Linked DNA regions of Ovis aries. The protein of the gene in region 5 purifies or fractionates together with the protein of the main gene of each other region. This does not show direct contact. Links are inferred from orthologs where the notes say so. Each region holds a gene or a part of one and is shown on either strand. Other genes may lie near its edges.

What was found.
Region 1: the proteins of EHMT2 (region 5) and ZNF644 purify together in Homo sapiens (affinity purification with mass spectrometry; 3 studies listed by BioGRID and IntAct, with this or other methods). This does not show direct contact. The link is inferred for Ovis aries from reciprocal best matches to the Homo sapiens genes EHMT2 and ZNF644.
Region 2: the proteins of EHMT2 (region 5) and CDYL purify together in Homo sapiens (affinity purification with mass spectrometry; 4 studies listed by BioGRID and IntAct, with this or other methods). This does not show direct contact. The link is inferred for Ovis aries from reciprocal best matches to the Homo sapiens genes EHMT2 and CDYL.
Region 3: the proteins of EHMT2 (region 5) and DNMT1 purify together in Homo sapiens (affinity purification with western blotting; 3 studies listed by BioGRID, with this or other methods). This does not show direct contact. The link is inferred for Ovis aries from reciprocal best matches to the Homo sapiens genes EHMT2 and DNMT1.
Region 4: the proteins of EHMT2 (region 5) and MIER1 purify together in Homo sapiens (co-immunoprecipitation; 3 studies listed by BioGRID and IntAct, with this or other methods). This does not show direct contact. The link is inferred for Ovis aries from reciprocal best matches to the Homo sapiens genes EHMT2 and MIER1.
Region 6: the proteins of EHMT2 (region 5) and CBX5 purify together in Homo sapiens (affinity purification with mass spectrometry; 3 studies listed by BioGRID and IntAct, with this or other methods). This does not show direct contact. The link is inferred for Ovis aries from reciprocal best matches to the Homo sapiens genes EHMT2 and CBX5.

The regions. Positions count from the first base shown.
Region 1 is NC_056054.1:68,270,420-68,274,426, reverse strand, and holds part of ZNF644 (zinc finger protein 644), read left to right. Parts: intron 1-2,659; coding exon 2,660-2,762; intron 2,763-3,547; coding exon 3,548-3,740; 3' UTR 3,741-4,007.
Region 2 is NC_056073.1:48,726,886-48,731,794, forward strand, and holds part of CDYL (chromodomain Y-like protein), read right to left. Parts: intron 1,972-4,909; coding exon 1,761-1,971; intron 282-1,760; coding exon 138-281; intron 1-137.
Region 3 is NC_056058.1:12,557,528-12,562,436, forward strand, and holds part of DNMT1 (DNA (cytosine-5)-methyltransferase 1), read right to left. Parts: intron 2,469-4,909; coding exon 2,350-2,468; intron 2,016-2,349; coding exon 1,923-2,015; intron 1,498-1,922; coding exon 1,346-1,497; intron 1,048-1,345; coding exon 860-1,047; intron 753-859; coding exon 569-752; intron 1-568. UniProt on the Homo sapiens protein: Methylates CpG residues. Preferentially methylates hemimethylated DNA. Associates with DNA replication sites in S phase maintaining the methylation pattern in the newly synthesized strand, that is essential for epigenetic inheritance.
Region 4 is NC_056054.1:42,628,202-42,633,110, reverse strand, and holds part of MIER1 (mesoderm induction early response protein 1), read right to left. Parts: intron 1,755-4,909; coding exon 1,599-1,754; intron 1,095-1,598; coding exon 962-1,094; intron 1-961. UniProt on the Homo sapiens protein: Transcriptional repressor regulating the expression of a number of genes including SP1 target genes. Probably functions through recruitment of HDAC1 a histone deacetylase involved in chromatin silencing.
Region 5 is NC_056073.1:26,541,325-26,546,233, reverse strand, and holds part of EHMT2 (histone-lysine N-methyltransferase EHMT2), read right to left. Parts: coding exon 4,846-4,909; intron 3,308-4,845; coding exon 3,170-3,307; intron 3,047-3,169; coding exon 2,932-3,046; intron 2,786-2,931; coding exon 2,684-2,785; intron 2,458-2,683; coding exon 2,309-2,457; intron 2,219-2,308; coding exon 2,075-2,218; intron 1,989-2,074; coding exon 1,753-1,988; intron 1,674-1,752; coding exon 1,491-1,673; intron 1,382-1,490; coding exon 1,299-1,381; intron 793-1,298; coding exon 686-792; intron 601-685; coding exon 478-600; intron 392-477; coding exon 290-391; intron 1-289. UniProt on the Homo sapiens protein: Histone methyltransferase that specifically mono- and dimethylates 'Lys-9' of histone H3 (H3K9me1 and H3K9me2, respectively) in euchromatin.
Region 6 is NC_056056.1:132,292,136-132,297,044, reverse strand, and holds the end of CBX5 (chromobox protein homolog 5), read right to left. Parts: intron 2,803-4,909; coding exon 2,702-2,802; intron 1,053-2,701; coding exon 902-1,052; downstream 1-901. UniProt on the Homo sapiens protein: Component of heterochromatin that recognizes and binds histone H3 tails methylated at 'Lys-9' (H3K9me), leading to epigenetic repression. In contrast, it is excluded from chromatin when 'Tyr-41' of histone H3 is phosphorylated (H3Y41ph).

The DNA.
Region 1 (4,007 bases), on a different chromosome or scaffold from region 5:
TGGCATTTCAGGGGATAAGAAATTTCAAAGTGATGATGGAGATATTAAGATAATAGAGATATTTAGGTGTAATTACCAGAGGCCCCTGGTTTTTAACATTTTAACTTTATGGAAAAGTTTCCAAGGATTCTCAATACTTGTTATTCCCTAAACTTACTTAGAAAACTCTTAAGTACTAGAGATTCTCAATCATATGCTGACAGAGTTGTCCTACTTTCCAAACTCATAATACCTTCAAATATTAATTACAACAAAAGTATGGTATTTTCATTTAAAATTTAGATCTGATCATTCATAAGACAGCTTAAACTTCAGAGTTTCTAGAATTCATATAATATCAAAAGTCAGAAAAACTCTTGTTTCCCTCTGTTAAAGTAAAAAACATTTCTACACCTCTGAGTAAATATTTCCAGTTCCATTTTTTTTTAAAGTATCACAGCATCTAAATGTGATTTAAATGTTTTATAACTGACTGGTATATCATTCTTTTACAGACTTGCCCATCACCCTCTGTCCCTCTCCCTCAATTTGCTTTACACACCTAACGTTATGGCACTCTGTGAACAAATATTTAAAGGATGGTTACAATATATTTTATTTGTATCCTATAGTAATTTATTTACATTTTAGAAGAAATTTGAATACAATGTGGCAATTTTGACAACCCAGGAAGCTCATCAAAGATTCTGTGTGTAATCTCATCAAAGATTCTGTCTGTAATCTCATGATACACCAAATGGTTCCCTTATTCCATGTAACAGAGACAGGGATTGCGTGTGGTTTACCTTATAGATAAGAAAAGAGGAGCTGACATCCAGTAGCACTTAATCCTTTTTGAGTTCCTTAAACTCTTGTAGTGTATGAATTTCTTTGAAATTCACCTAAATTCAAATTGCTCACCGAGGCAACTAGAAAGAAGAATGTGCTGGTTAGAGAGTATGTGTTACCTCATTCTTTCTACTGGTTGTGAAGAACCTAGTTTCTACATACAAGCTAGACTGGCAAGTGAAGAAAAGTGTGACTGCTAGCAACATGTTCACTTAACCAAATGATGCAGAAGTGTTCTGCAGGAACTACAGTATATATTACACAGTGGCAGAACAAATTTCTATTCATACGCTGTTTAAATGTCAAAGATTAAATTACTGGGTTTTTCTTTATTTTTCGTTGCAGAAGTATTCATTGAGTTCCTACCATGTGCCAGGCTCTTGTATGAGCTAACTAATGAGAACCTTGTAAGATTTTTCTGTTCCAGATTTTGGTTGTTTAGCTTTGAAGCAGCCATTCTTAAATACATAACTTGAATTCCTGTAGTTCTTTACTTATTAGATTCTTCTTCTGAGGATAAACAGAGAAAGACTTTTAAAGAGGCAAGTGATAGGAAGCAAAAGACAGTGGCTTCAATGAGATTTAGGCTTCTCATGGTTTTTAATTTTCTATATGACATTTCTGTTATCATTGCCACTTGACTACTGTAAGAAACAGTAGTCTGTTTACTGGTTTTTTAATATTAGCATCTGTTCTTTTGGAACCTGGACTTTGAAAACTCATTTCACACAATCATTGAATAGCCAATTCCTATTCTCTCTTCCCTAGAATTTTTCCAGGGCATTTCACATGACAGGTTAACAGAAGAAAATTCATTTGGACAACTCTTCTGTTACATTTGTTTCCCTTCCCCCTTGGGCCCCTAGAGATAAATTCTTACCATCTCTTCCTGCTAATTGACCAGCAGCACCCTGGAATACTATCATCACTTTGTCCAAAGGAATGGTGTAGTTGTATTTAAAGAATAAAATGTTATGTCCCATCTGTTCCTACCTATGAAAAAAATCTCTTTTCTTTATTAAATTAGATTTTTTTAAATAAATGATTAAAGGAGAAGTCAAGTAACAAATTTCAAGAACAGTTAGCACTAGAATTTTGATGCACTTTAACGTAAAAATCTTTTTTTTCCCTTTTTAATCACTTTTTTAAAATAGAAAATAATGTAACAAATAGTCATCATTTAATTTGTGGTCCATTTGTTAACTTATGTGAGATAATCTGGATCTATTTTTCTAGTAAAATAGAACATATGCTTGTGTATACAATACAGATTCAGTTTAAAAGTGAAAGTTGAGCATTCTTTGTCCTTTCAAACGTAGGGCTAGCTTATAATTTTAAGAGCTATTTATTATTGTAAAATTCAAGATGAATTGCATTGAACTTTTTACTAAGTTTTCAAAGTATGTGAAATCTGATTAATGGAGAAGTAATCAAATGCAAACTTGATGATCTTATATAAGACATTATAGTTTTCCTGGAAGTAAGATTTAACCAGATGTTAAAATAATGTATATACGATTGTAAGAGAAAAGATTGCCATTGCTGTGGTAATTGACCACTTTCGTAATTTCAAGTTGTTTTAGTTTTATCTTCTCAGTTCTGATTTGGTATGGTTAAGCATTGTTTGAAAAATGAGTACAAGAAGAGTATATGCTGATAGTATTACTGCTATTAGAGAACCAGCTGCAAGTTAGTGCATGCTTCAGGGAATACGAATGAATGCAGACATTTTCTAACTTGATTTAGATGGTCTAACCTCCCAAGAAGTATCTGTATGTATGTGTACTTAGAATATGTAAGAAATGTTAAGTCTTTTTCTTCCCCTTTTTAGCCTTAGATTGTAAGCAAAAGAAATCAAGGTCAAGATCCGGAAGCAAGAAGAAACTTTTATCATTACCTCATGGTGCTGACGAGGTTTACATTCTCCGATGCAGGTATATGTCTGTATTACCTAATCTGCTCAGTTTCTTCAGATTTTGCTTTGAGACGTACTAGTTATTTTGTTTGAGATTTTTAATTTTTGACTGAAGGTACAGTCTCAAAAATCAAGTTACAAATGAACTTTCAGAGACAGACTTAAAACCTTATATGGCTCATAATATGCTGTACTTCAGCAGCTAATCAAGTTTTTTATATTAGCGAAGGGCCTCTATGATATTGTGATTTGTAAAAGTGGCTTTTTTTGTTGTTGTGTTTTATTCGTGTTCTTTGTTTCCTTTAATTTGATGTTTTTCACATTATCTTGACTTCCTGCTTATTAGAAGTATATTTTCTCTCCACTCGTACTTCTGAGTGTAGATATACAGACTCATTCACACTTCCTTCCATACTCATCCTCATGCAATTTAAGGAATTCTAAATTGAAGAGTGCATTTTTGAAAAAAAGAAATAGTGCATTTTGAAATTAAGATGTGTAGGTGTTAAGACCTTTTAATTAATTTTCATAGCAATGTTCCCATCTCTGCAGGTATTACTAGAGTTAGTATGAATTGGCAGTTTTGATATTACATTTAATCATTTTGACCTCACAGGTACTTAGAAGCTGTCTAGTACTATCTTCAGTATAAAGTTTGCCCTTTGTGTTCATGAATTTTATGGGAATTGGGTTTTTTGGAAGGGGGGAATTGGTTTTAAATAAAGGGAATCGATTATGTTAAGAGAACTGTTAAATAAAGGGAATTGGTCATGTTAAAAGAACTGTTATCAACTTCTTCTATAGGTTTTGTGGCCTGGTCTTTCGTGGACCATTGTCTGTTCAGGAAGACTGGATTAAGCACTTACAACGACACATTGTAAACGCTAATCTTCCACGGACTGGAGCTGGCATGGTGGAAGTCACATCACTACTCAAAAAGCCTGCCTCCATTACAGAAACTTCATTTTCTCTACTAATGGCAGAAGCAGCTTCATAGAACAAGAAAACCGTTTAAATAGCAAATTTGAATTGGATGTAAATTTGAAATTCTTTGTCTTTTTTTTTCAAAGCCACATTAAATTATCCATTTATAAATAGTAAAGCAGGAAAATGGGGAAAAGTGAATGAGAGTGACATCAGAGCAAATTGAGTACTTCAAACAGTAAGTAGTCTCTATATTTTATATAGGATGGAAGAAGTGTTTCTAAGGTTTACTACATTTAGTCAGTTAACTGTGTTCACTCAATGAAAGACCAGTACATGT
Region 2 (4,909 bases), about 22 Mb from region 5:
CCTCCACGGGACGTTTCTCAGTGCCTACGTCTGTCTAACTGCGCTCCCTTAGCTCCTGCTGTGTGCAGAGGCCCAGCCTCGGCGTCTGGCTCTGTGTGCACCCTGCAGAGAAAGGGCGGAACAGGAGCTGGACGTACGACAGGGTTGCAGGAGGCGAGCTCCTTGATGCGGACCATGACTTCCTGGGTAAAGGTCCCAGGCCAGAACACCTGGGAGACCAGCCCTTTGCCGCACGCCTCCTGTGCCGTTAGCTTCCGCCCGCTGAGCAGCATTTCATTAGCCTGGAAGGAAGAAGAGCAGAGGCCGTGTGAGCCGCGGGGAGAGGTGGCAGGGAGACCCAGCCTGGAAACTCTCCACTCTGAGTTCAGATGGTGCCCAAGGGTGAAGCAAGCACCGTGGGGAGTGGCCCACTGGCCGGAGACTCTTACTGAATCTAAGAGGTTCATGTAGAGCAGAACCACACAGACTAACCAAGAAATCCAAGGTCTATCTGCTGTAGAGCCGAAGCTGCAGAGACATGCGGCTCTGGGGGCGGGCCTAGGAGAGGGGGGCAGGGAGCTGAGCCAGGGAGGCAGGGGGCACCCACCACGCGAGGGGCAGCAGACACAGCGAGGCCTCCGGCTGGACACGTGGGTGGGGTCTCGGGCGGCACCAGGCAGAGAGACCCTCCAGGGGCAATGGGGGTCAGGTCCCCACAGGCTGGGACCCAGGGGGCAGGTGTGGCTGCCCCTCCCGAGGACACGTCTCTCCTCACAGCTCTGGGCGTGGCGGGTCCCTCGGGCCTCAGATCCATGACCACTGCCCAGGGAGGTGGGTGCCCGGGAACCCTGCAGTCCTCCCTGTCCAGCCTCGCTGCCCACGGCCAAGGGCAACAACCAGTATCCCCCTGCCTCACCAGGACGGCCCCCGAGGCCCGCAGGGGGCAGCCAGGTAGGGGGAGATGGATCATCCATTTCCTGCCCCTTTTTTCACCTACTAATTTTAACGTCTGGTGGTGCTTCCTGCCTGAGGCCTCCTCTGTGTCTTTCCCAGGCAGGGGGAGGCGAGTTCTGAACCCAGAGGAGCGGCCGTCCCCGTCCCTGGCTGCCCAGCTGCCAGAAGCCATCAGGACAGCTGCCTGGACCCCCAGGGACTCTGTCAAAGGGCAAAGCTGGAGCCTGCGCTCAGCAATGACACACAAAGCCACCAGCCACTCTGGTCCACGGCGGGTGCCCCGGAGCTCCTCGTGGGGTCAGGGGCTGCCTCACAGCTTTGGTAGCCCCCTGCCTGCCTCCGCCTCCTGCCCTGGCTCCAGGAGCGAGGACTGCAACACATCCTTTCCAGAGATACAGAACTACAGCCCAGACTCCTGGTGCGGCGGGTCACGCAGAGCAATTCTGTGCGGAAGCACCTGGCAACTCGGCCCGAGGCGTCCCTCAGAAGTGCAGCTGCCAGGCTATCAGGTCAAGGCCCTTTCCACTGCAAACTCTCGGTGGTTTGGGTTACAGACCAGGTATTCACTCCTGGGGAGGATCAGCGTTAATTATGCAGACATGGAGGCACCTTGTGGAAGGAGGGCCTCTAGGAAATGATGCCAAACAGTGTCAATAAACATGCTATGAACCAGAGCATGACAACTTCCCACGGGTTCACGAATGAGGACAAGAGCTGGACAACACGAGCGTCCGATGGGAACTGCCCAGAGGGACACCTGTACACGGTTAAGAGAAGCAGCAACCAAGGACGGTTCCCAGGACGCCGCGTTGACAAGAGGTACTCACAGATGCTCCTCCCATGATCCTGGGGAACATCACGGTGGAACAGCCGTCTGGACTCTGCCCGAAGGTGGTGTAGGGCGTCTGGAACCACGCCTTTTCATTGGCCCAGACCACGTCACAGAGAGGCAGGATGGATGCTCCTAGCCCAATGGCCGGGCCATTCACGGCTACGATAATAGGTTTCTTGAACTGAATGAAGGTGTTCACAAAGTTTCTAAAACAGAAGGCAAAGGGGGGATTACTCAAAACACTGCAAATGTGGGCAACAGAAAGAAATCTACTTGTATGGAATTCGGTACATCAAGACGTCAAGGCCGTGCGCGTTGACTGTAACTGGCGGTTCTGACGGCCTTCTGGCTGCAAAGGGCCCTGGCTTGTACCGCTGTGCTGCAAAGGCTGAGCGGCGTCCCAGAGGCTGGGCAGGCAGCTGTCGCTACAGGACCCACGTGAATTCCCAGGGAGCGGCACAGCAGAGGGCGCTCTCAGCTTGGGCTCCAGGAACCCTGTCTTCCCCTGATGACAGGGGGGAGCCCAGGAAACCTGAAAGGCTGCAAACCAGTCCAGCAGCTCTCCCTCAGGAAAGAGGGTGCGGGGCCACACAGGACAGCCTGGGATCGGGCAGGAGCCTCAGGGCCTGAGTCTGGACTTGGTCTGTGACTTCAGACAGCTCACTGATAAACTGAAAACACAGGCATTCCTGAGTTTATATGGACCGGACGGAGTGATTCAGACACAGAGACGAGATGCTCAGCGGCTGGTCTAAGACCCAACAGAGCATCCCCCAGCCTGACACACGTCTGCACAGCACCTCCCGCCACTCGCGACAACCATTGAGCAGGCCTCCCAGGGGGCCTAGGTTCCCTCACACACGGGGTGAGGGGTCTCATAGGCCCAGACAACGCCACTGGCCTCTGGAAAGCTGGGCTGCTCTTCAGTTTAGGGCCGGAATCTTAACTGCATTCAGAGGCTGCGTCTTGTGAAGACTGAACACAGTGAAGGGAAGGATAAACACACTGGAAATGAATACAAGATAATCTTTCAAGGCTGTCTGAGCTCTAGCTCAGAAGGACAGAATTCCAGATCCTCAGTCTGGGTGCTACTCCCTACAATTCAGCAATTTAGTCTGTTCAGATGGGCTCTGAAAGTCACGACTTAGCGTGCAGTCTCCCCTCCTCCGCAGACACAGACATGAGGGGCCATGGATTTCTGGCAGGATGAGGTGTGGCGGGGTGGGTGGGTGTGTATACAGTGGGGAGAGGGGCCCTCAGTGTTTGGCAGCTGCACAACTCGGGGGACTGTTCTCCAAGGCCTCTGGAGTCAGCCCTCAGCCCACTCAGGGTCCCTGGAGGTTGGGGGGCTTGAGAATTAACTCACGCTGATGAATGAGAGCATGGGGTCCTGTCATGATGATCACCCTGGGATTCAAGGACACAAAGAGAGCCAGATAACCTCTAAGATAGGTCCTTGAAATAATCCCAGACCATCTCCATGAAGCTATTCAGTTCTGCCACCTTCTGAGGATTCTAGATCAACAACCCGTGACGGAAATGCATCGTCTATGCTCAGTTACAGACGACTGTCAACAAAGTAACTGCCAAACTGTAACCCTGACTTAAACCAGACATCTTCCCCAAGTGGCCCTGCATTCAGCTGCTCCTATGAATGCGGGCAAAGTGGAGACGGTTCCAGTACTCACGACTGGAAGCCACAGACAGGGACGGTAGCTTCACAAGAAAGAGGGGATCAAACCAGTGTAACAATAAAGATTCTAGAGAGCAATGGTAGAATCTTGGACTGCAAGGAGATCCGACCAGCCCATCCTAAAGGAGATCAGTCCTGAATATTCACTGGAAGGACTGATGCTGAAGTGGAAACTCCAGTACTTTGGCCACCTGATGAAAAGGGCCGACTCATTGGAAAAGACCCTAATGCTGGGGAAGATTGAGGGCAGGAGGAGAAGGGGACGACAGAGGATGAGATGGCTGGATGGCATCACCGACTCGATGGACATGAGTTTGGGTAAACTCCGGGAGTTGGTGATGGACTGGGAGGCCTGGCGTGCTGTGATTCATGGGGTCTCAAAGAGTCGGACACGACTCAGTGACTGACAGAGAAATGGTTAAGGGAAGGGATTACTCTCCACGCAGCACTAATCCTTCTCGTGTTGTATGTTCGGAGAAATGTTTGGAGCTGAACTTTTCCCCCTAAGAAGATGAGTTTTCTTTTTCTCTTGCTCGAGATGATAGCCTGCTCTGCACCCGGGGCTCCTCCCAGGAGCAGCATGAGTGGACCAGCTTGCCCGGGAATGGACACCATTGCCTCTTCTCGTGCTAAGGACTCGGAGATGCCAGAGGGAGCACAGTCCGCAGAGAAATCCGTTTCATGTTAGAAACAAACGAAAGCTGCCAGACAGAAGTTCACACAACTGCTTTTCTGTCCAGTAGAAACAGGAGGGCTCAGCCCCACGCTGCCAGAGGTGGGAGCTGCCTCTGGGCCCTGGACGCTCGGACCATCTGCCTGCTGCTTTGGGGGCGTAAAGCAAGCGTATTTTAAACCTTAAAACTGCATGCGCACTCAGATGCATCCCATACAACACACTGAATTTAAACGTCAGCTTCCTCTCAATTGAGTGAAAGGCTATGCTGGGAACAGTGGGAAGGAGAGAGATTATATTTGCCACAAAGTTCACTTTTTAGTGAAAGTGAAGTCGCTCTTTGAGACCCCATGGACTGTAGCCTACCAGGCTCCATGGTCCATGGAATTTTCCAGGCATGAATACTCTGGATTGCCGTTCCCTTCTCCAGAGGATCTCCCCGACCCAGAGATCGAACCTGGGTCTCCTGCATTGCAGGCAGATTCTTTACCGTTTGAGCTATAGGGAAGACCTTTAAAGCTTAAAAAGACCATTCAACAAAATCAAAATTCTATCCATTCTTTTGGAGAATATTTGCCATCCCACAGACCTCACCAAAAAGTTAAAAAACCACCTACAAACGGTAAGCCTCAGAAATGCTTTGGGGAAACGGGAACTGAGCTATCCAGGGCCGGTTTCCTGCCTCTCTCAGCCGAGCTCCCCTGCACCAGTGCGTCTGGGCCGGGACTGAAGGCGACAAGGTCAGGGTCAAGGGCTCGTTTCCTCACGGGCTCTGCTC
Region 3 (4,909 bases), on a different chromosome or scaffold from region 5:
AGGATGGGTCTGAAGGCAGCTGCTATATTTTCACTTTCAAGCTTTCATCCAAATTAAGTCAAATAGACACCAAAACAGATCTGATTCTGGGTCAGTGATAGAATTAGGGACATTAATTCCTCCAGGGTGAAGTAGATATATATTATACTAAATAATTCAGAGAGGGGTCGTCTCAGGCCTCAAAGCTAAGCTGGACGAAGCCCCCACTTTCTGAGGACAGTTACACCATAAGACAAGACAGGATCCTGGGAGGACGACCCCGCTTGGAGGAAGCAGTGCTGGCCTCTGTGGGGCAGTCACCCCTCACCCTCACACGGGGCCTGAGGACACGATGGGGCGTGGCCAGACTGCTTTGCGGCAGCAGCGGCACTGATGGCAAAGTGCCTGCGCGTGCCTCTTTTGACAGCTGTCCCGTAAGACGTGCAAGTCCCCTTGGATAAGTAACTCCTTCTCTGAGCTCTGTTTTTGGGGGTCACGTCTACGCAGTAAGACTCTCAAGCCAAAAAGAGAAAACAGCGAGCTCCTCAGAGATCATGAGGGGCAGGAGAGCCAGCTTAGGCGAGGTTACCTCACAGACGCCACAGCGCCGGCGCTTGAAGGCATTCTCCTTGTCTTCCTTGTCATCTTTCTCAATTTGCTCCGCAAAGAAAGTGTCGAAGATCTGGTAGACCAGCTTGGTGGTGGTGGCCTTGGTGGGGCCCTTGTCCTTCTCCTTGGCGGGTTGCCGGATGGTCTGCCGCCTTTCGGCTCGCCTGGGAGAGAGATTCCACGGTGTTAGTGGCCCAGGAAGCGCTCCCACAGTGCCCTGCCTTCCAGACTCCGTCTCAGGTCTTCAGGCTCACTCCTGCTGCACCCTCACCTTTTTCCCAGGGTGACCCCGGCCAGCTTGATGAGGTCTCTCATGCAGGGGCTCAGGAAGATGGGCTGCTCGTCACTGTCCCCAGCCCGATCATAACTCTCTACTTGCTCCACCACGAACTGGGCATGCCGCAGGAGAGAATCCTCTGTGAATCGATTCAAGTTGAGCATACAAGGAGGAACAGTGGTCTTTTGGAAAAAGCAAAAACAAAAACGGAAGTTTCTCTTAGGCTTAAGCAAAACTGGTTTACATCAAACAAACATGCTTCTTGGTACATCTGTATCACATGTAAATGGGACTTCCCACGTGGCTCAGTGGTGAAGAACCCGCCTGCCAGTATCCTTTCCCAGGAAATCCCAAGGACAGAGGAGACTGGAGAGCTGCAGCCCATGGGGTCACCAAGAGTTGGACCCAAATCAGTGAATGAACAACATCACATGTAAACGATCTGTGAATCTCAGATAATGAAGGACCTAAGCCTCTTACCTCAATCTTATTGATCAGGTCTTCGTAGGTGGAGTCAGGGTTGCTCTGCAGGAACTCAACCACTATCTTACTTATGTAGATCTTCTCCTGCATCACGCTGAATAGTGGTGCGTACTCTGGGCTGGGATCCATCAAGATATACTCGGCAAATGCTGGAGTAGACAGACGCATAAGAGCAGTGTGAGCCTGACGGCAGCGGCAGTAGCCAAACGGCAGGGATGAGGCTGTGAGGCTCACGGGACAGGCAGTCACTCCACACTCAAGCGTCAAAACCCAGGAGGTACGGTCAGGGTTAGCTCATTCAGAAGGGGCCTGTCGGAGCCAACCAGAGAAGAGACTGGCCAAGTGGCTTTCCCAGCTCGACTCTGGCTTTTGGAATTCGGTCTGGGTTTCAGCTGCAAGGTCAGTTCCAGGGTCAGTTGTAACTAGTAAGAGAGGCCATCCCAATCAAGCCTGACATGCTTCCCACACAGTCATGAGAGCCCGAGACTTTCTAGAGCCCAACCAAGCCCCGTGGAAGACAGAAGCATCTTTCACTTCAGATTCCAGAACAGTCCACAGTTGGCCACATACTTACAGGTGCTGAAGCCAAGAAGAGCCTTTTCACCTCCATCAAAACCAGCAATCCACCATTCGTTTATGGGCCCAAAATTTTTGCCATTAATACCACCTAAAAGAGGAGGAAAAGGTTTCTTAAAATGAAGTGGACTAAGAAATGGCAACTCACTCCAGTCTTCTTGCCTGGAAAATCCCATGGACAGAGGATCCTTGATGGGCTACAGTCCATGGGGTTGCAGAGTTGGACACGACTAAAAGAATATGCCTCAAAAACCCAAGCAGGTTAAGTGGCACTGAGTCCCCACCTGAGCCCACACCTCTTGATCAGATGAGCAGGGCAGCCTTACTGGAGCCATCAGAGCGCGACTGCTTGTAGCTGCTCACAGCCCAGACTCTGTTCGGTTTATAAACTGACTGTCCCAGACAATCTGGAACATTCCCCTTACCTTCGGGAGATGGGTCATCCTCGTATATCGGCTTTGCTGAACCAGAAAAGAGGAGCTCGACATCTTTCTCAATGAGGCCGGTGTCGATCGGGCAAAGGTGGCCGCGTTTACAGTACACGCTAGATGGGCGACAGAGGCCGTTTACCAGGAGACCAGAGGCAGGCAGAGGCAGAGCCAAGCTTAGACACGGGGGGAAGGGGTGTGGCTCCTAGACTCCACTGCCTCCCTGGCTGCCAGAGCACTGGGTCAGCACAGTGCTCTCACCCCATAGCCTCTGATTCGCCCACCTGGGCACCCAGAGCAAGAGTATGAGAAGGGAATGTGGAGAGGCCAGCAAGACTGACAGCGGGAAGCCTCACAGGGGAGCCCCTGGCGCGTCCTCCCTTGAGGAGTGGCTTGTGGAGACGCACTGGCTGTTCCAATACCTCCTACCCAGACCTGTGCCACCACCCCCTCTAGCTCCAAAACGTTCTTGCTGCTGAAAATGAAACCTCAAACCCACTGCGCAGTCACTCCTTCCCCGCTCCCCACACCACCCCGGCAATTCCTGATCTGTTTTGTTTCTCTGGATTTACTGCTTCACACTATTTTATGTTTGCATTATGACTTTCACCTCAAAAAGATTAAGATAATGCATATTACACAGCATCATAAGAGGCGAGGTGCACTGAGGACATGAGAAGGAGGGACTTCCACCTCCCTCTAGGCGGGGGGGTGAAGCCTCAAGTTCAAGAACATCCAACGCCTAGAGACGCTCCGTGACATTTGGAGAATGTGTATCATCGAGCGGGATGCTGAATTTGAGATAGCAGGATGGGATTGGGGTGGGTTCTGCTTACGGACCTGCCTGTGCTGGCCTCAAGGCCAGAAGTGCTGTGCAGGTCTGAGAGTATCCCCCGCCACATTCCCACCGCCTAGGCCCCTGGAAGCCAAGAAATTCTCATCTTGAAATCTTACCAAATTAAGAAAAATGAACACATGAGTACTTTGAGTGGAGCTCTTCTACCAGGCATAGCAGACAGACATGGGGCACAGCCCTGCCATTAGGACCTGAAGCCGTGGGAAGGAAAGACACACACCCACGGAGGGCAGGACACGGTGGATGCACAGAAGGGGAGGAGCCAGGGCCCAGCCTGACAGACTATCCTCGTGCTCCGTCAGGAGAGGTAACATCAGGGAGAAGTGCCAAGTCCCCAGCCGGGGCAGGGCCCATTAGTGTGCAGAAGGGGCTAGTTTCCACCTGCCACCTTCAGCCCAAGGACCAGAGGTAAACAGAGTCCCCAGCTAACCCAGGTGGTCTGGCTTCAACGGCCTGATGCTCAAATGCATATGCCATTCCTGGGGCGTGTGTTCGTATTTCCCTACCCACAGGAAGGAGTCTGGGGCAGACCTGTTCTTGAGGAGCCACCCAGAGACCCCAAGCCCTGATACTCCTGATTGCAGCGGCTCCAGCCCCTGGTTCTCGTGAGCCTCTGCCCCAGCAGCGCCACAGGGCAGCACAAGGCTGTGAACATCAGCGATGCTAACATCACTCGTGCTGTCAGGCAGAGGTTTGAGCCGGGGAGTGGCCGGGGAGTGGACAGCGTCCCAGTGTGGATCAGGCTCCTGCTCGTGGAGAGGGAGAGACACACCCAACGCGGCGAGCATACAGAGCACTGCGAAGAAACACACCGGGGTTTCCTAGGGCGCCCAGCCCACTGTGGGGCACGAATGTCAAAAAGACCATCTTGAGATGATTCCACCTGAGGCTTTATAACAGGCGATCCAGCCGCCCCTACTATTCTCTTGTCCAGGGAGAGGAAAAGCATGTGCCGAGCCCTGAAAGGAGACATGAGCTGGAGCCAAGCTATTTTACACAGAGAGGCAAAGGGAAGCACCTCCACTGAGCAGGAGAGAGCAGAACAAAGGAGGCTAGAGAGGAGGGCGACTCTGCCCAATCACAGGCTTGTCTGAACCCCAAACGCAGTCCAAACTCCACGACCTCCAAGAAGACCCCAGCATCACTGCCTCAGCCTGAAGAGCCCCGCAGGATCCAGTCCCTGCCCTGGGTCCCTGTTCCCGGACCACTCAACCCCCCAGCCCCTCCACTCTAGCCACACAGCCTCTTACCTAGTCTTCCACAGCCCACGTGGCCCCCTCCCAGCCTCCACCTGCTGTTCCCTCCTCCTGGATGTCTTTTCCCTCACTATCTCCTTGGCTTGTTCTTAAGCTGAGGTCTTTGCTCAAGTCCCTTCCCCTCCATTCTGAACAACTTTCTCCCACCTACTCTCTCTGCTCCCCAGGCTTTTCACATCCATCACAATGTCACTACCCACAGGCACAGCTTGTTCTGCTTCCATGAAACCAGGGATCTGAAGTGCTGTATCTATAATACCCACCGTACATAGCTGGCCCTCAGTGGAATGAATGAGCTTTAGGATATTTACCGACTCAAGGGCCTTCCCTGGTGGTCCAGTGGCCAAGACTCCACGCTCCCCATTGCAGGGGGCCCAGATTCAATTCTTCAGGTAACTAGATCCCACATGCCAGAACCAAAGATTTGCCAGCCACAACTAAGACT
Region 4 (4,909 bases), on a different chromosome or scaffold from region 5:
GATATATTATTTCAAGACGCAGTCACTTAGTATTCCACTTTTAAGCAAATTTTGGCAATGGACCTGCTCCTGGTTTAACTAGGGGAAAAATACATTTTCTCCAAATAATTAAATGTAATTAATTTCTCTGTGCAGTGGTAACACTTTTCAGTTGGACTGTATCTCTAAATGAAAAATTCACAATAAAATGATCACCAGCAGCCCTACACTGACCTCTAAACAAAAATGTGTAACAGAAGTCATTCACACAAAGCAGTAACCATGTTTAATCAATTTTTACTTTACCACACTTCAGGAGAGGTTATTATATTGTATCCAAGTATTTTTCTTTTTTAAATATAGAAATTTAAACTACATATTTAAACTAACAACACTAATGGTTAACTTTTTCTTACCTTACTTCTAAGGTAAGGATTCTTGCTTAGAATGAAAACATTATGGAGTAGTGATACATGCAAATATTCAAGATACATACGTTAAATGTTGTATCGACTACTGGTCAATGACTTTGAGGAGGTAGAAACATCAGCAGAGTTCTTTCTCTGTACAATATATTCCTACCTCAAGGGCCAACAATTTCTTTAGACTTGGGAACCACTGGTTAGAGAAAGCAATGCTTATGAATATTATCTAGACTGAGAGGCAAAGAAAGCAGAAAATGGAAAACTGAGGAAAAGACTAGGAAAAATAAAAAAGATGACCATGAAACAACAAATTTAAAGAACAGTCAAGAGTGGAAAAAAAGGAACACATTCAAAATCAGGTATCATAGTGACACAATAATTACAGTAGCATATTCATGGACAACATGGCACCAGTACAACTAAACTAATAATCTAGAACAAAATCCCATTACTGATGAGAGAGATTTCCAAATCAATGAATTCAGAGTATTGGAAAAAACCACTAAAATATTAAATAGCAAAAATCATATAAAAAAATAGTAACTAATAATACTTACTCGTATCAAAATATTTACATCGACGTGGACGGATTATTTCCTGGGCATCTTGAGAAGCAACAGATTGAGATGGATCATCATTGGAAGACTGAGTTTCATCCTCTTGACCTGAGGAATCTTTTATATTCTCTTCCTGTGGAATAACACATTAAATCTCTTTAAGAAAAAAAGTGCTACAGATGAAAGGTCACAGTATTCCAGATAAAACTAGAAGACTATATGAATATACCATGGTTACACAAGATGCTAACAGTAGAGAAAGTCGACTAGAGTACAAAGAGATGCACTGAATTATCTTTGAATCTCTTATGCAAACCTGAAGTTATTTCAAAACAAAATAAAAATGAGTACAATTAACCATTATTACTTTAAAAAAACAGCATTTTAAAAGTTGGTACAAATTTATTTAGAACAGGCATTAAAAAAACAGGAATGACAGAGCAAACTATTGCCTCTCTGGAGTAGATTACAGGGAACTTCCAATTTGCATTAAGATATGTCTATATCTTAAGTTTTAACATTTAAATATGTTGCCTTTAAAGTTAGAGTGAAAAGAAATGACAAAAACAAGCAATCAAAATCAATGTATCAATAAAATTTTAACTTCAGGAAGATAAAAATACATGTATAACCTTACTTTATTTTCCCCACTACATCCACTGTTATCATCATTATCAGCATCTTCATCATCTTCTTCCTCTTCCTCTTCCTCCTCCTCATCATCTTCAGGTAGCCGAATAGTACTATCATAACCATAAAGGCTGAGAAGTTCATGAATCGGCATGTCGCCTTCCTAAATAGACCGAACAAAAGTTAAATTTTTAACAGATGACATTTCATATTCCTATCATTCACAAATCTTAATACAGCAGAATATTCTTAGAACTGTTATCAAGAATTCACAAATCATAAAAGGTAAAACAATATAATTCTGAAACCAGAAAAACCCTAATCTTTACTATTCTTTTCTGCTTCAATTCAGTGACTGTACACCAACAATCAGTTCACATTTACTATGAGTACCATACATAATTTGGCAGTGGGGAAACAGAAACCAAGAAAGGGGAATGAAATTCAGAGCCCAGCCAAAACACATTAAAAACAGCAATAACATACATGAATGATACTGGATTACATCAGCCATATATTCTTTCCTAGGGTTATGTAAAATCATTTCACGTAATCTTTACTGTACATCTTACAAAACTGTTGTGCTATCTCCACTTCATAGATGAGGAAACTGAGGCGAGCAGATTAAGCAATTTCTCCAAAAACCACACAAGTTACAAGTAGTGAAAACAGATTTTGAGTCTAATTACAAAACCCATACTCTTTAACAGTGTATCAGGCCGTTTCAGCCAGGGACCTGAACCTCCCCCAACCACAAAAAGCACACTTTCCTGAGGGTGAAATGAAGAAATATCCACGTTATGAAATGAAATGAGATTTCTGCAGAAGGTACTCATTCTAATCAGTAATACAGTGTTACAGAGTGTCAGCGAAACATGACAAAATTATTAAAAGAAAATTTAACCCAAATAGTCTGAGCCTATAACATACACATACACACTCTGAAGAAAAACTTAACCGAGTCAGTTTAGAACCTAGAAAAAGGATAATCGTGAAATAAGACTTTGTATTTCTCCAGCAGTACACAGTCTTACTCATGGACAGAAACAAGTTTAGCCTGTGTGTGAGATACCGTCTCATAGTGAGGATGAATACATCAGATTGGAGGATATAACCTGATGGTACTAAATAATTAGATCATACAGTTAACTCCCATCACTCAGAATTTGTGTGTAAAAAGCAAATAATGATAATTTGGAAAAAATTTCCTTATAAAAGAAATAGGAAGAAAATGCTGTTTAACACTTCTATTAATATTTCATATTGTACATGGATACTGTAGTTATAAATCAGTTTGTGAATCTGTTTCTGAAAGAAATCAATGACAAGTTGGTATACTTAATTGACTTAATTACTGTGACCTTCAAAGTACAATAAGAGATAATGCTTGAAGTGTTCAAGGATCTAGTCCCTCCAGACACCTGGTCCAGTATAAGCATTTGGTACAAAGAAACAGAAATTTAGGAATTAGGAGTCAGGATTTAAGAAAAAAGAACTTCAAAATCAAGAAAGAAATAAGAATATGATGTAGAAAAGATGGGTTAAATAAACAATGATAACATATAGCTGCCATCACATCTTCTATATGCCAGGCATTTGTGATAAATGCTTTGATTCACTACCGTATTCTTGTTTCTTAACAAAAACAAAGTGAGAATATTATACTATCTTATTTGATCTTTAAAAGTACCGGATGAGAGTGGTACCTTTATATGTAAATAAGAAAGCCAAGCAGAGAGAAACATGATGTACTGACAGAGACTTTATTGTAATACCCAGAACTCTTAATCTCAGCTCATATTTTCCATAAACTTATTCTGCATCGCAAATTAGAAGCAGGTTTAGCAACTGAAGTCACTTCTATGAGCAAGACGCCACTGAGGTCACTATTATGAATAAGGGCCAAACCAAGAAAAACACTTTAGTGTAGGCTTGCAACCAACATTCACATGGACCTTGAGAATTTACCAACAGCTTGTTTCATAATATTTCATCTTTAAGATTACCTTAATATGCTGTTATCTCTAATTTTTACAACTGCGTTTAACTGATACTTTGAGAGATCACCAAAAGAGGTATGATTACCAATAAAATAAAACATAAGTTTAAGCAAACTCAGGGAGATAGTGAAGGACAGGGAAGTCTGGCCTGCTGCAGTTCACAGGGTTGCAAAGAGTTGGACCCGACTTAGTAGCTCAACAACAACAGGCTCTCTACCTTTGATCTGTCTTACTCAAGGGCAACAGAATCACCTTGAGGGCTTATTTAAACTTACAACTGAACTCTACCTCAAAGATTAGCAGGGCTGAGGTGAGGCGTGAGTTTCTGCATTTTTTAAAGTACCAGGTGATATTGATGTTGTTGGTATGAGACCATCTGGAGAACCATTCTCATCATTTCTAGGATAAGGTAACTGCAAACCAGGCTTTTCAGTGGAACATAATAAATTGTGATCATTATCCTTAATAAAGCTTGTCACTAACAGCTGACATCTAGCTCAGTTATATGTCAAAAAGATAAGTAATCTACCAACTGCATGGAAAGAATTTTTTTCTTTCTTTCTTTTAACTATCATTTGGAAAGTGGAGTATCTGACTTTCATGGTTAAGTCCAAGATTTTTCTCTCTTGGCTACACATATGACAAGTGTGACTTGTTTTATAAAAACTCATTTCTCAAAGAAAAAGTTGGCAACACCCCCAATACTGACTAAGCAGAGAACAGAGTAGAGTCAGAAGTGATTGATCACTGTATTTGAAAGAGAAGTGCCGAATTAGAGAAACAGTAACAGAATTGGCAGAGAAAAGTCAAGACAAGTCAAAGAAACAACTGAACGACTACAGAAACAAAAAATGAATAAGCAGGTTATCCTGATTTGCAGTAACTAAAAAAAAAAAAAAGGGCTGGCTAGTTTTTTTTAACCTATTTTCTCTAGTTTTACTTAGTTTCTAAAGGCATCTGTCATAGTCTACTTTTGATTCATTTGAGAGTAGCTGCTGAACAATGATTGACGCTATAGAAGGGCTTTGGGAAAATTATGCACACAACCTATTATTCAAGATGAACCTAGGCAGGGAGAAATTTAGTTTGCTAAGTTGGAATCCACTGCTATCATTTATCAGAGCATAATCAGAATCTGAACGAAATTAGTGACTGTGGTAAAGAACAAACAAGGGACCCCACAGAAGAAATCAACAGATTTAACCACGGGTTAAGAGTGATCAAGAGGTCCCTGTGACACTGACTCTCTAGTTCCAGATACTCCTTCGACCTAGATATATATTCATATGACATCTAAAAAATATTAAAAGCAAAATAA
Region 5 (4,909 bases):
GAAGCCTGTGGCAAGGGGCTTCTTCTGGACAAAGGATGGAACGGCTCAAAGATCAAGGAGAACACAGACTAAAACACCTCCAACAGGTGAAAAACTGAGTTAATACTGGCCAGTTCCAGACATTAAGGCAGCAAGTGAAAACTGGTAAAGAAAAACAAAAAGAACCAGAAAAGAATGAAGAGAAATACAAGTGAAGCAGAGAAAAGAGATAGGAACAGGCTGGAACAGTGTGACATGCAGGGAAAGGGTCAGAGGTCAGATGAGGGAGAAAGGGGACCAGGCTGCTGACCTGGGCGTTGACGTCCACCTGTCCTGTGCTCAGCAACAGGCTGACCATCTCCAGGTTCCCAATTTTGGCGGCGTGGTGGAGGCAGGTGGAGCCGTCTTCCTCCTGGGGGAGATGCGGGCAGATGAGTCCTCAGGCTGGCACCTCAGGCCCGGCCCCTGAGCCCGGCCTGGGCCTGTGTGGCCACGCACCTTGCTGTAGACGCAGCCCCCGCGCTGCACCATGTAGCGAGCCACCTCCAGATGGTTGTTCACCACGGCCTCCATCAGCGGCGTCCGCTGCTGCTTGTCCACGGCATTGATGTTGGCTCCAGCCTGCATGGAAGGTCTGTTGGCACCAGGGAGGGGCTGAGGTGGGGTGGGGTGGGGTGCTGTGGTCCCAGGTGGGGCCCACGCTGACCTGTAGCAGCACATGGCAGATCTCCACAGAGCCCTTCTGGGCAGCCGCGTGCAGGGGTGTGCGCTTGCTCTGCTGGTCACTCTGGAAGTTGGGGTCCAAGTTGTCCACTGTGGGGAGAGCCCACCACACCGGGAGAGGGAGGGACATGCGGTGAGCAAGCGTGGGGGTGGGTGGCATCTCATTCAGGAAGGCTTCTCAGGACCCCAGGCCTGGTCAGGGGTGCCTCCTGGGCCTCCCCTGTGCTCACATCCACCGTGGCACAGCCTCACGAGAGTAGACGTTAAGAGCACCAGCTCTGCCCAAGTTCAAATGGCCCCAGCCCCTCAGTACCCTGTGCACTGGGCAAGCCAATTCACCGCTCTGAGTCTCCACTGGGAAGATACAAGTGAGTGAAAGTGTATAAGCTCTCAGAATAGGGCCCAGGGCCTCTGCGTTTATCGCCACCACAGTCCCCATCATCACGGGCGACCTGTGTGTCTGCGTCCCCTACCAGCCTCGTCCTTCAGGGCAAAGACCATGTCCCTCGCGGCTGCCCTCCTGGCTCCGAGCCCAGGGACGGGCACACAAGCAGCGCGCAGGTAGGGTCTGCTGAATGAGCGAGGGCGACACTCACACAGCATCAGGATCACCTTCTGCAGCTCCCCTTGCTTTACGGACAGGTACAACTGCCGGGGGTGGAACCGGAGCTTCTTCCGCCTGCCGGGGAGAGGGGCCCTCAGATTCAAGTACCAGTCCCAAGGGCCACGGATCCACGCTCCCAGCCCCAGTCCCAGCGGCTGCGCCCACGCGTGCAACCCCTACTCACCTCTCCGACTCCTGGATGACCAGGGCCTTCTCCAGGGCCTCCCGGCCTGGCCCTGGTGGCAGCCCTACAGCTGAGAGGCAGCCCCCGTTGGGCAGGGCTAGGGAGGGCCCTGAGCTGTCGATGGTGTCGGCCAGAGGGTCACAGGGTGGACGCCGAGGCTCCCCCTGCCCCCGCATCCGGGCACTGTGGAAGAAGGTGCGAATGTCTAGGGCAGATGGGGACCACGCAGGGAAGAGACAGAAGGCAAGGGCGAAGCCAGTACCTGGGCTGGGAAGTGTCCGCTCTCCCGGGGGCATCCTGGGCCAGGGGTGGGGGAGCGGGGGCCGCAGTGCCAGCTGGTGGGGTCACCCCATCCCCCCGGGGGATGGTCACCTCCTGGGCCTCAGATGCGTCCTCCCCACAGTGGGGACAGAAGACCATCCCATTTAGCTGGGACACACAGGCCTTGTGGAAGCGGTGGGCCACACGGAAGTCAGGGTGACACTCCAGGAAGGTGCCCTAGGGGCAAGGAAACAACGCAGTCAGGCTCCGGGAGCCCCTGCCCCTGTGGGGCATGCCGCCTGGCTGCCCTGCTGGTCACTCACCGCCGTACAGAAGTAGCCACAGCCGGGGCAGCAGTGATGTTTGACCATGCGTGCGCGGTGGGTCTCACAGAGCACCATCAGGGCCACGCGGCTGGACGGTCTCATGGTCTCCCGCTTGAGGATGGCAGCGTTGCAGCCGGACAGCTGTGGGCGGCGAGGCCGGGTGACAAGAGGTGAGGCTGGGCTCCGGGGCCGGCTGCCCTGGCATCTCGCCGGCCAGCGCCCCGGGCCCACCTCTCCGTCCACGCTCTCCGTGGCCATGCACTTGTGTCCCGCTCTCTCGCTGATGCGGTCTATCTTGGGGGCCTCCATGCGGCAGCTGCAGAGGGGCAGCTCCTCAAACCCGCGTTCTGTCTCCAGCGAAGATGTGTCATTGGACACCCCTTGGATAGAGGGAGCAGGGAGTTGAGGGCGGCCCAGCCCCTCACCCACCAGGACCCCTCATGGGGCCTCTCACCCCCACCCTGACTTTCCCTCCATGCTCCAGAACCCCCAAAGTCAGGTCATGGACACCCCAGCTCCAGCGGGGTCCCCCTCCTCCCCATCCCCTCTGGCCCTGAGGGCACCCCTAGTGGCTCCCTATCCCGGCAATCGGCAATTGGCAATTACCAGCGTGGTTGGGAGAGAGGGTCCCCTCGCTGGGCAGCTCCAGGGACCCCAGAGGGACCTCCATGTACTCACTGGGGCCTGAGGAGCCCACACCATTCACTCCTGACACAGAGACAGAGAGAGTGAGAGTGCGAGCTCACAGGTGCCTGGACGCGGGGGTGCATGCGGAGCGTGGGTGTGCATGCACGCTTTCTGGGGGCCGGGAGGGGGCTGGAGGAGGGGACCCCAAAGCAGAGGGGCCTCCTCACCTCGTGGCTCCTTGGCCCTCGGAGGCTCTCGTTTCCGCCGTTTCCGTGATGGCTTCACCCACGGGCTGTCCTTCCGCCATTTCTTCTTGGCTTTGCGGCGGCCACTGGAACCACTCTGGGCAGGAGGAGGAGCATTAGGGTGGCGGGTGGCCCCCAGTCCGTAACCCCCTCCTTGGAGGACTCAGACCTCCGGTCCTGCAGTCTCCACTCCTCCGGGGCCGCCGGCCTCCCATCCTACCCTGTCAGACTGATTGCCGGACTCTTCATCTTCCTCCTCTTCTTCCTCCTCCTCCTCCTCCTCTTCTTCTTCCTCCTCTTCCTCCTCCTCTTCTTCCTCTTCCTCACTCAGTTGTTCAGCCAGAGCTTCAACCTCAGACTGGAAGAGAGGTAAAGCTGTGGCCCCCACCCCAGGCCACAGCTCGCTCTTGGGGAGAACTTGGGAGAGAGGCAGAGTAGGACACATCCCCCTGGAACTCAGAGAAGGAGGTGTGATCAAGAAAACCATAAATCCCCAAGGATGGTTCCCTGGTGAAGATGACTGTGGACAGGAGAGGAAGGAAAGGCTGGGTACAAAGACGGGCTATGGCGTGTCATACAGCAATGAAAAACACAGTGCTATGGTGATATGCAAAAATGTGATGATCTTGCAACATAATAGTAAGCAGGGAAAAAAAAAAAGTCGTTGTTCCAGATAACAAATGTATAGTATGAGATTCTATGAAGTTCATAAACACGTGAGACTGAAAACACTACACGAAAAGCTAATCAGAAATGCCATAATGAAATCAGGGTGATATCGTCTGAATCCACTGATCTTAACTTCACTAATAAAAGACCAAATGTCCAACACCTGATGATACAACAGGAAGCACCTGCTATCAAGTCTTCCAAACTAAAAAGAAAAATAACATGCCTCTGAGTCTGATCACACTTCTAGATCTATGAGTTTATAGGAAGAAACACTGGACAGAGAATTACATGTCAATTCCCAATCAGCCGACTCCTAAGTGTGAAGAATTCTGCAGGACAACCGACTTGGTTCCTTTAACAAACGAATGGCAAAAAAAATATTTTTTTTAGAAGGCAGGGAACCTATATACCAAGAGAAACCTAAGACAAATAATCAGATCAATGTGTGGATCTCTTTTGAAACTTGACAAACGAAAACCCATTTATGAAACAACTGAGAAAATGCGAAGATTTATTGGTAGCAAGGTGATGGGATTAAAGAATCATTTGTAGGAACTTCCCTGGAGGTCCAGTGGTTAGGTCTCCATGTTTCCCCTGCAGGAAGCATGGGTTCTATCCCTGGCTAGGGAACTAAGATCCCTGTAAGCCACATGATTCGGCCAAAAAAACCCCAAAACATCTGTAAATCTTTTGAAAACAGAAAGAGGTCTTATGTTTAGAGAGACTTATGGAAATGTTTCTAGATAAAATGAAATGGTGCCTGGCTATTTGCTTTGAACCAATCCAGTAGGTGTGGGTATTAGGGAGGAAGAGATGAGTCAAGATCTGCAGTGTATTGCTAATCCTTCAAGCTGGGTGATGGCCACCTGGGGGCTCACTATTCTATTTTTTTCTGTGTATCTGAAAGATTCCATGATAAAACAAACAAAAAATAAAAGGCAAGACTAAGCATTATGTTGCAAAAGAATAAACAAGCAAACAACAAATAAACCATAAAACAGGTTGTTAAATCCCAAGTCCAGGGTGGTGATTATCACTGGAGAGGGACAAGGGGATGGTATGGGGTAGAGCACACACTGGAAATAAGTTATAGATAGTACGGGGCAGTGAAACTAGTGGGTGTTCAGAAAAGGAAAGAGAGGAAAAAGGGGGGCAGGAAAGACTGGACAATGAGCCCTGGATGCGGGGGCAGAATGGCTGGGAGCGTGGCCGGCTCCCTCTCACCTTGCTGTCAGAGTCCACCCGCTCATCCACAGAGTAGGAATCATAGTAGAGGCTGAAGTCATCC
Region 6 (4,909 bases), on a different chromosome or scaffold from region 5:
CACCAGGCAGTCACTCACACCTACATAAATATATAATCCAAATGAGAGAGATGGAAGGAAATAATACATACATACCAAATGTGATAATAAAGACAATTGTATCCTACCCCATCATCCTCATGTACTAATAGCTACAAATTTCCACAGTTAATAATCTTGTCATTTTATAACAGACTTCACCAACTTGCAGAAGCCGAATCAGGGACTGCTAAGAAATAAGGCCAAAAGTCCTGGGGCTAGGAGGAGTGCCTTGACAAATCTGAACGTAAAATTTCAAGCCCTCCTAAGGATGCCGCTCTTCTGGGAGGATGGTGAGGATGAACAACAGAGGGTGGCCCAGAAGACCACATCAGGAACCCTGTATTCTCCTGGGTAGAGCTGAATGAGGTTGGGAAAGCCCCAACAGGTAGGCAGTTGCTATTGGCTTTTTTAAAAGACGGGCAACATCTCTTCCATCCCAACATCTCAAAACAAAGGCTAGCTGGTCATCAACATGTTCTAAGAGCCAAAGCAAGAAACCAAAATTCAACATCATTATACCAAAATCCCCCACCTAAAAAGCAACCAACCCCGAAAAGATCAAGACTCTAAGGTGACTAAAAAGTTAAAATTCATCTTGAGGTCACAGGGGAGCAGAAGGGAGAGAGCAGGGCAAAGGAAAAAATGGTGGGAATTACACACAGTATGTAAATGCCTGGTCTTCACAGAGAGACACTTATCATGAATCAGACCATCAGTTATGTTACAAGAGAACCAATACCAACATTTCTCCTGTGGAGCACAGTGATAAGCACATTTTTTATGGATGTGTTTAGGATAGAAGGGGGTGGGTAGAAAGGAGAGGAGGCAGGGAGCTGAATGTATTATGTACAAAGAGAAATGACAGAGACCACCCCCTCCTTTAGCTCTTTGCTGTTTCTTTCTCTTTGTTTTCCGCATCCTCAGGATATGCATGCCACGTCAGTCTCTCTTCATAAAATGCTATCACAATTTGTGGACATTTAACATTAGCTTCTTTTGCAAGAACCAGGTCTGCTTCATCTGTGTCTTTCCTGGAGAGAAAGAATATGAGACTTAGAAGGGAGGAAGAATGAGAGTCTGTCCAAACACTGGTTTGTGTTACTGAATTATGAATTAGCTGACTTGATTTCCTCTCCATCAAAAGGAAAAGGATCCTAACGGCTCCAATGAATCAAATTGTTAGTAAACATCATTTAATGACTACATCAGGAAGAAAATAGAAGTCTTCAGCTAGAATAGATGGAACACATATCGGGTTTAATTAAAAGGCTGAAAATTAAACTACTCTATAAATTCTGCTTTCAGAAGTTTTATTTGTGTGTATGAGCATGTGAGTGAACACACAATCAAAGCTACATTCAGCCCTATTGATTACGCATAAATTGCTCAATCCAATTTCTGGATCATCTGGATCATGAAAGGGTCCTAACCCTCCTCATCTTCTGGCCTTTTAAACACTCATCCCTTTGGTCAGAACTGTAGGTTGGAACAATAAGAAAATAGAAACCTAAGTCAGCAAAGAATGTAAAACCTAGTCACTAAAATGAAATGCAGGAATTAGCTGCAAATTTCAATTACTCAAGTTACACTTTTTACTATCCAGTGTAACAAAAACAACAAAAATCTAGCAAGTTCCTTAATCAAGATTCCAAATCAAGAAAAAAAATTTTTTTTAAATTAACATTCCACTGAGATGTGGGAAAAGACAACTAACTTCTTTTTTTTCCCCTCCACCTAACTCCTTTTCTAGAAAATGGAGATGCTGAACTCATGGAGGTAAGCATTATGGATAGGAAGAGGAGGGGGGAAACACACAGCTTAGAGCAGCTACCCAAATTTGGACTGTGGTGGAAAAAGCTAGTTAATATGTGAATGTAAATCGTTAAGTTCCACATATGGCTAAGTGGGAAGAGCAGGCAATACAGCTCCTGACTTTGGACAGATTATAGTGATTCTTCAAATATAGGCTTCTGGGTAATTTACCAGCAAAATTTCGATCAAATAAAATGTTAAACCTCCTGACTATCCAACTTTCAAGGTAATTAGCTTCCTTAGTGGCACTGTAGCAGGAACCCTCTATTTAGAGATCCAACTTAAATCACAAGTCAGAACACTTGGAAACAGAAAGGCAGGGGGGCTGCACCATAAATCACTCTGACTTTAAGAAACCAAGCTGAGGGGAAGCAACTACACTTTCCTCTAAAGCTATTCCCTCTACCGGATGAAATAACTTGTGCTTTGGCTAGTATTATCCTTAATGCTTTTTGTTAAGATTACTTTTCTCTTTTATACATTATTCAGCGGTCTTGGTCTTCAGTGGTGGCAGAAAGCCTCACTCAATTTCTAGCCCATGGCCACAGGCTCATGGTGTAACGGTAAACGATTCAGAACTGTGTAAATAAATGGTTAGGTCATGTTTATATGTTTCCTACCTCAATTCTACCATTTTCTGGTATGTGGGCTAATGTAATTTGGCTTAATACCAAAGTTTTACAATCTTAAATCCACTCTGAACCGTAATTCCCATTTAATACTGACAGCTGGTATCAGTTAAAAATTTAGATCCCTGACAATCAAAATTCTTAGCTGGGGAGTACTCAGTCTTCCCTCCCTATCTTCCATATGAATTCAAGTCACTGCAAAGAAACACAATTGCAGAGGGAGGCCCAATCTCTCTCACCATTTCATTAGGAACATTAAGTCACCACAGGAATCTGTTGCCCCAATGATCTTTTCTGGTTCCAGTCCTCTCTCAAAGCCCCGAGCGATATCATTGCTCTGCTATAAACAGAAGATGAAGAAAGGTTATGGCTTGGAGGTAAGAGTAGAAAACCTTCCTGTTTCTCAGCTCAACAAAACACAACCTAAGTTAATATTACTGGATATCATATTTGTCACTCAATTCATAAAGTTCTTAGAACTGCAGAAATACAATACTGGGTCAGCCAGTAACAGAGATGCTAAGAGCTACTTTGCAGGAAGATGCAGCTGTCCTTTTAGTATTTCATCAAAGGCCTGGGAGTAGCCCCTAAAACTGCTAATATCCCTTAAATATTCTGGAGTCATCATCTAGGAACTCCTCTCATCCCCTAATCTAATATCCTTAAACTTGCTTCTCAGATGCTAAACAAGTCCAGGTGAACTAAATCCTTTTTCATTTTATAAACTTCAACTATACCACCTCTCAATCTGGAGTTTATTCTCTGGACTTTCAGTTCACCTAATACTGACCAGTATTTTTATTTTATTTTTATTTTTATTTTTATTTTTTTTTTGACCAGTATTTTTAATACTTCTTTACACATAGCCATCTGTACTTACAAATGAACAATGATTAAGATTAAGAAGGGATTCAAAGAACTACCATAAGATAGCAAATTTCTTTCAGAGATCACATACTATAATCCCCATGAACTGGGGAAGAGGTCCTGATCTGTGCCTGTCCCCTCCTGATGGAGATAGGTCATTAGCTTTATAGAGTAAACTGGAGAGGGATTAAAAAAAAAAAAATTCTGTAGGGGATTATTCAAACTTGGTCAAATTGCAATCATGCAATCTAGATAAGGAGCATAGGATTTGATTCCGTTTCGATGGCACTGGTGAGAGCAAAATGGTGAAATTTTATACAAACCAGGTAATTTAAACAACCTTACTATGGAAGATAATGCCAGCTTATCTAATGGTAACACAAAAAAGACTTAGACTGTCCAAATGAACTAAATCGCCAATGTCTGATTTTCATGCTAAAATCTCTGATCTGCCTTTCACCTTGCTTTCTTCTGAGAGATACAAAGCCTTCAGCATCCAGGTGGTCCCAAAGATACCAGGACCCGCACGGAGCAGGAAACCCCATGCATGAATCAGGGGACATACAGGCTCAAAAGCATAGCCTCTTTTGGGGGCGCTTAAAGGGAGGAGGGTCCCAGATGTGCACACAGCTGCTCACAGCTGGAATGCTGGCACAGCAACCAAGTCGTAAATCATAGCTGGCGGCTGAAAACAGTTTGCCACATAGGGAGGGAAGAGAAGAAAAATGTTCAAGCAGCTGAAAAGGAGCCGAGGCGAGGAAAATGCTAAAATCATCACACAGGCAGTAATCTTAAATCAGGCATAATGCCGACTAACAAATTTCCTCTGCAGTGGTCTAAAGAAAGAAACGAAATCCCCCCCTGCACCTTTAAAATATACAATCACCTATCTTACCAGCTGCCTACATGACAGCCATCAGCACTGCTGAGAATGCTGCCAGGGGCCCCAGATGAACATTACAATGTAAGGGACATGTGTGTGTGGGGGTGGTTTTCAAGGTCAGCAGCATCAAAAGGCCAGCATCCTGGCCTAGGAACCAAACTCTGCACTGGCCAGTGTCTCAAAGTCAGATTGCTCCTCCCCCCCCCCCACCCCCAGACTGCTCCTTTTTAAAAGGACATAAACGTTAGGTTGAGGAAATACACACTGAATGTCAAAAACGGCTACAGAAGTCATGCTGTGTTGTTTCTTGGTCTCTTTACTTAGCTGGAAAATGCATCAAATGACAAGAACCAGAATACAAAGGACTAATAAAAAAGTAAAACAGAAAGACAGACCCAAGTCTTAGCTCCTTAGAGAAGGGAAGGCATTTTCAAATTATCTACTAGTATGCTATATCATAATGATATACACACCTCACCAGAACAGGGGAGTTTTAAAAAATAAGATTGCAAAAAATAAAATTAATCAGGGAAACAAACAAAATACTAGCGTCCACTTTCACTGACAGCCTCCAATCTTTCATTCTTATTTCAATTCTTTTTGGAAAGTTGTTCTCCCATTTTCTCTCCTCTGGAGACCAGGAATCACCTGTGTAAGTCTCTAGAAAATACTAACGCATAGGTCCAACCCACAGAAA